2 linked regions of the Cricetulus griseus genome follow. Each later gene encodes a partner of the first gene's protein in a complex. Links are inferred from orthologs where the notes say so. Each region holds a gene or a part of one and is shown on either strand. Other genes may lie near its edges.

Region 1 (5,158 bases):
TACTAGCCTAGTATACTGAGAGCCCCAGGTTCAATCCCAGCACCACCAAAAAAACACAGAGCAAAACAAAAAGCAATAGCACTAGCAACTAATTAATACCAGTTGCACTAATGAAAGACAAGCTCTCCTGTTATACAGAACGAACAGTTTATGATTGACTTTTGGAAAGGAGCTAAGTTTTATATATTTAAAAAAGCCCTTTCCAAAATGTATACATTTATTTCCTAGTTTACTTATTTAGGCTAGCATCAAAAAGAAAAATGCAATAGCTGTCTGACTTTCTTTATGGTATGAAGTATCCTCTGGGTCATAGAGGATGTCCCTTGGTATCTTGCACAACAATTTGAAGCCCTTCTTCTGCACATAGTTCTGCTAAAATGCAAACTTGCTCTAGCTCAAAATCTCCTTACAGCCAGGTGTGGTGATGCATGCCTGTAATCCTAGGAGTTGCAAAGCAGAGGCAGGAAGATCTTATCAAGTTCAAGGTCAGCTGGGATACATATGAGGTTCTATAACAACAACAACAAATCCTCTTAGTGGCAAAGGATGTAAACATTGATACTTTATGCTAAGCTCATTTAGGTATACATATGAATTTCAGTGTCTAAGGAAATTCAGTAATTATCACTCTTCTGTTACAGTTTTGTGGAGGCTGGTACTTCTACGTTCAGGCTTACAAAGCACTGAAGCATAAGACAGCAAATATGGATGTGCTGATTGTGCTGGCAACTACCATTGCGTTTGCCTACTCTCTGGTTATTCTTCTGGTCGCCATGTATGAGAGAGCCAGAGTGAACCCTATTACCTTCTTTGATACGCCTCCTATGCTCTTTGTGTTTATTGCCCTAGGTCGATGGCTGGAACATATAGCAAAGGTAAAGTAAGAAAGGTGACATTTGTTAAAATATTGGATCAGTCAAACACCTTCTTATGATCTCTGTGAGTTCGAGGCTAGCCTGGTCTCCAGAGCGAGTGCCAGGATAGGCTCCAAAGCTACACAGAGAAACCCTGTCTCGAAAAACCAAAAACAAAAATCAAAAAACAAAAAAAAACAAAGACCTTATTTTCTAGACTGCTTATTAGAAATGTGTATTGATTTTTATAGTTAACCATTTTAGTTTTAGCAGTATCTATTGAATATCCATGGTACTTTATGAGAAACATTTGAGACGTACTTATTTGTTATACCAGATTATTAATTGAGAATTGATTTGGCCAATTGGCTTAAACCTGATGTCAAAGTTCATTCATGCTCCCATGTTGTGATGAAAGTCAGTTTCTAATCCTGTTCCATGTAACTTTATGTTTAGCAGAGTAGAAAAAACTATACAGTTTTTTCCCTGACTGTAGTCTAGACAATCACTTGCTTTTTCTGTTAGGTCACTGTGCTCTTATTTACTAAACCATTCTTTTCAATTAAAATTTTTCCAAATTTTTCTTTTAGATAATCCTAAGATGAACATATTCATGTCTAATAGTCATCTCCTGTGATCTGACTACCTTGGGAGTAATTAGAAAGGATATGGTACTGTCTTAAAGGGCATATATCTTTCCATGCTCTCATGCTATAAGCTGTAGGAAATTTTGCCAGTGAGGGTCTGTCAGTCTTCAACACTGCATCTTATCTAAATTCTTGCTAAGTTAGTAGATGAATTACAAGATGGCTTTAGTTTGAGTTTCTGAATAATCATTTCCCCATATGTTGAGTATTTATAGTCCCTGTTGAATGATCTACCTATTCATGTGCTTTGCTCATTTATGAATTAGATTCCTGATATTTTTCTAATACTTGTATTTCTTTATAAATTACACCTAGTACTTTTGAATGCTTTTCATAAGATATTTATTTTCCAATGAAAATTTGTTTCTGATTAAATGTTTCAAAGCTGATGTTTGAGTGAATGTTAAAGGTTTGAACAGTTTCTTTCTTAGCATCATTATTGTGTTTTAATTTATAGGGCAAAACCTCAGAAGCTCTTGCAAAGCTAATTTCACTACAAGCAACAGAAGCAACTATTGTAACTCTTAACTCTGAAAATCTCCTCCTGAGGTATTTATCTTCATTTCCTTTTGTAACTTGTCTTAAACATTTTATTGTGGTGTGTATACATATGCCTTGGCACATGTGTGGAGGTCAGAGGACAGCTTGTGGGAGTTTCCTCCTTCCATGTAAGCCCTAGGGATAGCACTCAGGTTGTTAAACTTGGCAGCAAGCACTCTTACCTGTTGAGCCAGCTTACTGACCTTCTTTTGTAACTTCTTATGGTATTTTTCCCTTTAGTGATTCCTCCTTTGACTAAAGGAGAAGGTAAGGAAGGAAGGAATGAAGGAGCTGTTCTATTTAAGAAGAAACATAAGATACCTTGTGACAATTATGTATAACTACTGAGTGTCTCACGTAACACAGGCTGATCTTGAGCTCACTGTATATAGCTCAGAATGACTTTGAACTCATGATTCTCCTGCCTCCACTTCCCAAGTTCTGGGATTAACACTGTATGCTACTATGGTATTATTTTTTAAGCCTTCAATTATTCAGTGATTATTGATTTGTTTTGTTTTGTTTTGTTTTTTGAGACAGGATTTCTCTGTGTAACAGCCCAGGCTGTCTTGGAACTCACTTTGTAGACCAGGTTGGCCTCTAACTCATAGAGATATGTCTGCCTCTGCCTCCTGAGTGCTGGGATTAAAGGTGTGTGTCACCACTGCCCATTCAGTGATTATTGAATAAATATGTAGAGTGTCTGCTTTGGGCCAAAACTTTGTGCATTACTACCAGTGAGCAAAACTGATATAAATAGTTGTTTCTAGCATAAATGTTGCTCCTAGGTTCTGTTGGTAATAATTATGGAGCTATAAGCTTGGCATGATCTCCAAATTGTGTGTGTGGAGGTTAGACTAAGAAGCAGATGCCATGACACTTTTTATGTTAACTCATGTGCAGTGAAGAACAAGTGGATGTGGAACTTGTACAGCGTGGAGATATAATTAAGGTGGTTCCAGGAGGCAAATTTCCAGTGGATGGCCGTGTTATCGAAGGACATTCTATGGTAGACGAGTCCCTCATCACAGGTACGTTCTGTCAGAGGATCATGACATGAAAGTGAAGTGAATCCAAAGTGATAATGAAAAGCAGACACCAAAGGAGAACCAATAAATGTATAAATAATGAGCAAAGAATATGAGTTCTTTAAAGACTGCCTTCAGTTTCCTCAGGGTTACTATGTTTTTAGGTATGTTGTTGAAGACTAAACATTGAAGATTTCTTTTTTTTAAAGATTTATTGATTTTTATTTTATGTGTATTAGAGTTTGGCCTGCAAGTGCTCCTAACATGCTGAACCATTGCTCTAACACCCACACTGAAGAGTCTTAATTACTAGAATGCACAAGAACAAAGTTATTCAGTGCCTTGTAGAGCCAGGTTGACTTTGGCAAATATCCCAGAGCAGATAAATATTCTGTTTTCCTGCCTAAGCAGCTGATGTAGTCAAAGCTGGGCCAGAGTTCGAAGTTTTCCACATCAGGGCAGCTTGAAGAAAGCAGGCAGGACTGGAAGATGTTTAGAAATCTTGGCTAACAGAGTCCAGTGTGGATCAGAATCAAAAATAACACCTCTCCCACCTCTGGTAGTCGTAGTGGATGCTCAGTTTATTTATTAATTCAGGACGCTGTTTCCCCGTGGTCTGCTATTGCCAGTTTAGATGAGAATTTTTTTTTAGTTCTATGTCTTGAGCTATGTAGTATAATTTAGTGACCCTGATCCTGGCCTACTAAGCAGTAGTCTCGGCGCTCTACTCCCATCCAGTGTTACAAAGAAAAATGCCCTCCCACATTTCAAAATGCCCCTTAAGAACTTCTGCTCTACGAGTAGAATGAAGCTCCTAAAATATCTGTGGACAAGAGCTAACATGGTAAGCTTTTCCAGTTCAAGGTCTACATCCCTGTGTTTGGCCTAAAACTAAGGTGAGAAAAAAGGAAGGGCAACTTTTACCTTTGCAAGTGTCTAGATTCTAGTTCGAGAAGAATGTCTTTTCTAGGTATTTGTTGACACTGAATTAATAAACATGTTTCAAGAGGATACTAATCATTTTTGTTGTCTGATTGTTTTCCTCTTCCTTCAGGGGAGGCAATGCCTGTGGCTAAGAAACCTGGCAGCACGGTAATCGCAGGTTCCATTAACCAAAATGGATCCCTCCTTATCCGAGCAACCCATGTTGGAGCAGACACAACCCTTTCTCAAATTGTCAAACTTGTAGAGGAGGCACAAACATCAAAGGTAACCTAGTCCCCTAGGAGCAGAAGGTATTTTCTTTAAAGCTTCCTACTATGAATCTTGATGTGTATTTTCTTTTGATCTAGTTGCATTCATGTGAAGTTTTATTAAAATATTTCTGTCTATGCTAACTACCAAATATATTCTGTATTTGAAAAAAGACTTAAAGACACTCATTATTATTATTATTCTAAATTCTAGGCTCCTATCCAGCAGTTTGCAGACAAACTCAGTGGCTACTTTGTTCCTTTTATCGTCTTGGTTTCCATTGCTACCCTCTTGGTGTGGATTATAATTGGATTTCAGAATTTTACAATTGTGGAAACCTACTTTCCCGTAAGTGACTTGCAACAACTCTTGACTATATTCAAAACATTTTGTGAATCTTTTGTAGAATTAATTAAGTAAAAATAATTTTGAGGAGCTGGAGAAATGGCTTAGCAGTGCACCTGCCTACACTGGGCAAATTGCACCCATCTGTAACTACAGCTACAGCACAATTTGATGCCTCTGGCTTCTGAGAATACTTTCACTTATCTTCACATAACCACAAACAGATACAGACACATAAGAAAAATAAATAAATGATTTTGAACCAGGTGTCCTGGTGCATGCCTATAATCTTAGCACTCAGGAGGCAGAGTCAGGCAGATCTCTGTGAGTTTAGGGCCAACCTCTACAAGTATCAGGCCAGCCAGGGAAGAACAATGAAACTTTGTCTCATAACAAACACACTTTGGAAATGAACAATACTGGCTGAGAATGTAGATGGTATAATGATGCCCAGCATTTGGTAGGCCATGTGTTTATCCTCAGTATCAAAAAGAGCCATATCCTTTCTTCTATTCTCCCCCTGACTCAAACTTTCTGCTCCCTCATGACC
Region 2 (5,807 bases), on another chromosome or scaffold:
GTAGCTGTGAGCTGCTCTGTGGTGACAGGAATTGGACTTGGCTCCTCTGCAAGAGCAGCTAGCACTATTACCTTCTGAAGGATTGTAGCTCAGTGGTATAAAGCTTGCCTGCCATGACCTAAGGCCCTAGGCTCAATCTCCAGCACTACCAAATAAACTAGGCTACACTTGCTACAAGCACATGATATTGAAAATTACATTTGGGGGCTGGAGAGATGGCTCAGCAGTTAAGAACACATACTGCTTTTCCAAAGGACCTAAGTTTGAATCCCAGCATCTACATTATCAGGTTCACAACAGCCTGTAACTCTTAACTCCAGGGGATCTGATGCTTTTTTCTGGACTCCACAGGCACCTACACTTATGTACACATACCCACACAGACAAACACATATACATATAATTAAAAAAAAAAAAGCAGGAACTAGGCAGTGCATGCCTTTAGTCCTAGCACTCGGGAGGCAGAGACAGTTAGATCTTTGTGAGTTCGAGGCCAGCCTGGTCTACTGAGCGAGCTCCATAACAGTCTCCAAAGCTACAGAAAAACCCTGCCCGGAAAAACCTAAACAAGCAAGCAAATAAAAGCCAGGTGCATGCCTTCAATCCCAGTACTCAGGAGGCAGAGGCAGGCGGACCTCTGAGTTCGAGGCCAGAGGTCTACAGAGTGAGTTCCAGGACAACCAGGGCTACACAGAGAAACCCTGTCTCAATCTCCCCACCCCCCCAATAACAAAACAACTAATTTTTAAATAAATAATAAAAAATATTTCATTTCAAATAATAAATAGGGCTAGAGAGACAGCTCAGTAGTTAAGACTACTTGTACTTTCCCAGAAGTTCTGAGTTTGGTTCCCTGAACTACAACCACCTGTATCTCCAACTCCAGGGAATCTGAAGCTCTTCTATCTCTGCACATAAATGGTGCGCATGCACTCTCGCTCACACAAATAAACCTAAAAGATAATAAGTATACTATACTTATCCACTTATTTGCATGTGTGAGTGTGTGCCATTGAGTAAGTGTGGATGTCAGAGGCTATCAGGCTTGCTACAAATATCCTTATCAGCTGACCCATCCTACCACCCTCAAACTCCTTTCTGCAGTATTTTCCTAGCTTGAAAACAGAACTATTCATTTCCTCTTGCTGGGAGGTCACTAAGGTGATGAGGCCATGGGTGCAAAGGCAGGAGCCCTAGAGAGGCTTTCTTTGCTCCAGGGAAATCTTGTTGGTTTTATAACAGCCCATCCTCCACAAACTGACTCTGAGAAGAATCTCTGAAGGGGGTTTCAGAAGATAAGTAATTGCTGCTCAGGGATCTAAAGTCAACAGTTATCTGAGCTCCAAACTGAAGACCCTAACAAGGAAGTCTTTCACAGTACAGAGGTGGGGGGGTGGGCAGCTCACAGGAGGCCAACACTCCACTCCAACTCAGAACTCCCTACACCTCTGCCTACAAACTCTGCAGTTTACACCTGAGGATGACAGAAAGTTCTGCCTAATGGATAGGGTGATCCAGTCTTCACAGGACTATCTCAAGACCTGCTCCATCCCTGGATGTCTCCCCAGTGCCTCTTACAAAAGGGTCATGGAAGAATGGCAGAGCATACACAGGCCCCAAATTAACACTTGGGAGGCCTACGTAGGAGGATTGCTACAAGGATCAGTTGGGCTACATATTCACTTATAGGCCAACCTGAGTTACAGTGTGAGATGCTGTAACAGAAAACAAGCAAAATGGATCCTCTGACGTATATATTAATGTTCTACGGCAACACGCTGTATTATGTATTATGTATTATTACATACAGTATTACTTCAGAGAGCCGGTAAGTGGTACAATTCTTTAACAGACCCTCTAGAACTGGAACAGTGGGAATGGAAGAGGAGAAGTTCTTCTAGAGAACATTGTGTCTTTGGACACTGGTGTCTGGATTCCTGATTACTAATATCTAATTATCTCTGATGTGCCAGGCCTTCTTCTAAACACCTTGTACACTGTCTTGTTTGATAGCTACAATGCTTCCATAAGCCAGGAAACTCTTCCTATTCCCAAGAGATGAGAAAGCTGAAGCTTGGAGGTTGGGTACTGACTCAGGGAGATGCAGCTCATGAGTAACAGGGCCTGGGTTGGACAGAGTACACAAAACTCTAACTTTTAACCACTGAGGTCCACGTTAAAATGGGGTGGAAGCCTGTCCTACATCTACACAGGAGGTACACCACTCCTTGGGGACCGGATGGGTCACTAGTTGTGTTAGATATTTTGATGACATCATTCTAGTTAATACCAAACACAGCCCTGCAAGGTCAGTTTCCAATCCCTATTTTATGGATGAGGAGATGGAAGGCACACACAGAGAGACAGAACATCTTGCCTGAAGTTGCCCAGCTGGCAAGCCATAGGGCATAGACTGGGTTAAGCTTTGGCATGCAAACCACCTTTGGTAAAACTCATTCCCCTGGCTAGACTGGAGGCGGCACTTGAAAGATACCTTTAGTTGTTGGTCTTGAGCTAAGGTGTCTACTATATGCCTCACTCCAATGAAAGTCCCCAGAGGCAGACACAGAATAGAGGGGTCTGCAAGTTATTTTCTTCACTGCTCTCCCCAGGAGAGCCTGGCAGCCTTGACTCTGGGATCCCAGGGTTATGAATGAGCCTCACACTGCAGGACAGACTGGCTTGACTGGTAGGATGGACTTTATCAAGTCTTTTGTTTGTGCTTTGTGCGATCTGAGGAAAAGTCTCTCAAGACAAAGGGTAAGAACCACAAGTGCCACCTGAGATGTTTAAGTCTGCATCAGGTGGGAGCCTCTGGTTCACTCACAGACGATAAGCCCGCTAAAATATGCCCACTGGGTTCAGAGGCACCAGGAGAAAAATGCTCCCGACTCCAAGGCCCTAACCATTATCTCAGGAACTCAACACAGATCAGAGCTCAAAGGCAAGCAGTACAACTGGTTTTGCCCAGCACTTCCCAGGTGATCTGGCTTCATCCTGGATCCTATCTACCTAGCGCCCAACTAGCGCCCAATAAATACTCTCCAACAAACACTGGGCTTTTTCTTATCTTGTGTAATGTTCCAAAGGCCTTTATTAATAAGCAATGAGGCTATGAGGCTAGAAACCACCATGCACAGGAGTGGGTGATTTCAAAGGCAAGGTAAGCGCTGCTCTTGGCTCTGGAAACTCTGCTCCGAGCTTTGGGAACTCCTGGCTGGAAAGGAGGAAAGTATCCTTTCGGTTCAGGGTTGCCCAGGGCTGAAGTGGAAGCAGGCCAGTGTGGGCAGGGGAGGTGGAGAGACCTACTTCTTTGAAAACCTACTAGCTCGGCGGCAGGGGCATGCACCTGGAAAGGGCAGGTACCGGCGTCCCGATGCGGGTTCTCTGCCCTACCTCCCGGTTTCAGTTTCTCCATCGTGCAGGGAAGATTGGGGCTGCTCCTTGACTCTCTAGAGCGATCTTGAGGCCTATATTCTGCAATACAGTTCTCTCTACAGGTTTCCCGAGGGTCGCGAAGCTGGAGGGCGAGTGCGGAGGGAGAGTAAACTAAAGCATGACTGCAGCTCCGGCCATGGCACGCGCCCTAATAGCAGCGTCTGGTCGGGCAGCGGTGCATCGGGCCGGAGAAAACGGTTCGCACGGGTGGAGCGGCAAGGCCACTTACCGGCATGACTGACGCGGCACAGGCTGGGAAGGCGGCGGCAGCGACTACGACTGGAACGCCTCTCCCGGGGCAGCAATGCGGCGCTTCCGGAGAGCGTTCCTGGAAGCCCCACTTTCAAGCCGACCCAGCCTACTGTTAGGCCCCGCCCTAGGACTGGGCTCCGCCTACTCCCCGCCCCTTCCGGGTTCAGCTATGGCAAGGCTCCGCCCCTGAGGGAGGCTCTGCTTAGTTCCCGTCCCTTTCGGCTGAATTACAGCCTGGCCCCGCCCCCTGGGCTGGCCTCCACTTAGTTCCCGCCTCTTTCTAGTCTCAATATATTATTAGGCCCCGCCTCTTTGAAGCTTAGTCACTGGCCCTCCGGAGGGGCCGGAGGGACTGGACTGTTTTGAGACTTGCCCGAAGTTGTCACATGAGATCTTAGGACGTGAAACTGCGCTCTTCACTGGGAATGCAAGATCAAGACTCCTAGAAAGGATGGATCCCGGCATTCCTTGCTACACTAGAGTGGGCTAGCCTAGGGCTGCAGGCCTGTTGTTCCAGCTACTAGAGAGAGGCTCAGAAAAGAAGGGTTCCTGGTTCAGGACCCTGGGCTGCAGAGTTCAAGGCCTTCATGGAATTCATGAGACCTTATCCTGAAAAACATTAGGAAAAATAAAAGAAATCCATTTCTTTTAAGACACTAGGCATATAGGTACACGCCTGTAATCCCAGCACTTGAAAAACTGAGGCAGAGTTGGTTGTGGTGGCACACACCTTCAATCCCAGCATTCCAGAGTCAAAGACATGAGGGTCTCTTGAGTTCAAGTCCAACCTGGTCTACAGAGTGAGTTCCAGGATAGCCAGGGCTGTACAGAGAAACCATCTTAAAAACAAAGCCAAAAGCCAAGGAAAAATTAAAACAACAGAAAAAGCTGAGGCGGGAGGATCCGGAGTTCAAGGTAGCTGGGGCCTTTATTCTCAGCACTCTGGAGGGAGAAACTTCCTCCCCTCCCCCTTCCTATAGGCCAATTGGATGAAACCAATTTTTCAATTACAGTCCCTTTTTCAAGATGACTCTAGCTTGTGTTAAGTTTACAAAAATCTAACCAGCACTCCTATCCTAAAGAAAAACAAAAAAACCTGTGAGAATGCAAGTGTTATTCCCATGCAATTATGGCTGCCATGGTTAGTTGAGTTACTACATGGGTAATCCAATACCCTTGAAGATGGGTTTTCTCAGCAGTGCCAGCAGGAGCCACTAGATGACTACTGATGGCCTAGATTGATCTCCACCACCAGCCATTTATGTTCCTTGAGCAGAAGGTTAAGAGAAGATCCCTAAACTAAGTAGGCAACTTGTCATTCTGTGTATCAAGATGGGTTCAGTCAGAAAACCAGGCAATTTATTGTACACAGAAGTTATGAGAAGTTGGCTAACAGGAAAAAGCCTAAGAATCAAAGAATAGGTGGATTGGGGGGGTGGTGGCTGAGAGTCAAGGGAATCATGAATTGGAGACCAGTCTGAGCTACCCAAGAACCTGTCTTAAATCAAATGAACTAAAATAACTAAGAATATAGCAGACTGGGCAGGGTGAGCACCTGTAATCTCATCACTTGGGAATTGGAAGCAGGGGGAGTGCAGGAACTTCAAGGTCAGCCTACCTAATACCACATCCGAAGCACCGCCCCCTCCACCCCAGATACAAAAGTGTGGTGGATGTAAGATTCCACCATCCAGAAAGCTGAGACATGGTGTCCAAGAAGTAGGTCCTGTCCCCTGCACGCCAGTCCCAAACTGAGCTCAAAGCCTTATTAGGAAGGGCACAGCCGTGACCCGCTGAATGCAGAGTGCCTGGGTCCTGGCTTAGAAGTCTGGCTGGGAGGCTACTGGAAAAACACCTGCATCCCTTACAAGGGAACTAATACCACTCTCTGCTCTTCTCCCCAACTGGACTCTTGACTTCTAGAGAACAAGAACCTCCATCTGTCTGTCCAGGACAGAAATGTCACAGAGGCTGACGCAAAAGCCACAGAGCCAGTGTCAAGCACAGGTGGCCCCAGATTTATTCTGGGAGAAGTGATGCCATCTTTATTTCACCTACTGCCGTGAGACTTCCTGTTACTTGCCCCTCTGCCTGATAAGCATGCAGGTGTTTCTAGT

What was found.
Region 2: the proteins of Atp7a (region 1) and Atox1 are in contact, whole or in part, in an NMR structure (PDB 2K1R), measured with the Homo sapiens proteins. The link is inferred for Cricetulus griseus from reciprocal best matches to the Homo sapiens genes ATP7A and ATOX1. Residues at the interface, in NP_000043.4 of Homo sapiens: Cys19, Asn20, Ser21, Cys22, Trp24, Thr25, Gln29, Asp67, Asp68, Met69, Gly70, Phe71, Asp72; in NP_004036.1 of Homo sapiens: Thr11, Cys12, Gly13, Gly14, Cys15, Ala18, Arg21, Val22, Lys25, Lys57, Thr58, Gly59, Lys60.

What each region holds. Positions count from the first base shown.
Region 1 is NC_048604.1:64,651,578-64,656,735, reverse strand, and holds part of Atp7a (copper-transporting ATPase 1), read left to right. Parts: intron 1-641; coding exon 642-875; intron 876-1,958; coding exon 1,959-2,050; intron 2,051-2,944; coding exon 2,945-3,072; intron 3,073-4,123; coding exon 4,124-4,278; intron 4,279-4,476; coding exon 4,477-4,611; intron 4,612-5,158. UniProt on the Homo sapiens protein: ATP-driven copper (Cu(+)) ion pump that plays an important role in intracellular copper ion homeostasis.
Region 2 is NC_048600.1:69,641,191-69,646,997, forward strand, and holds the start of Atox1 (copper transport protein ATOX1), read right to left. Parts: upstream 3,622-5,807; 5' UTR 3,419-3,621; coding exon 3,350-3,418; intron 1-3,349. UniProt on the Homo sapiens protein: Binds and deliver cytosolic copper to the copper ATPase proteins. May be important in cellular antioxidant defense.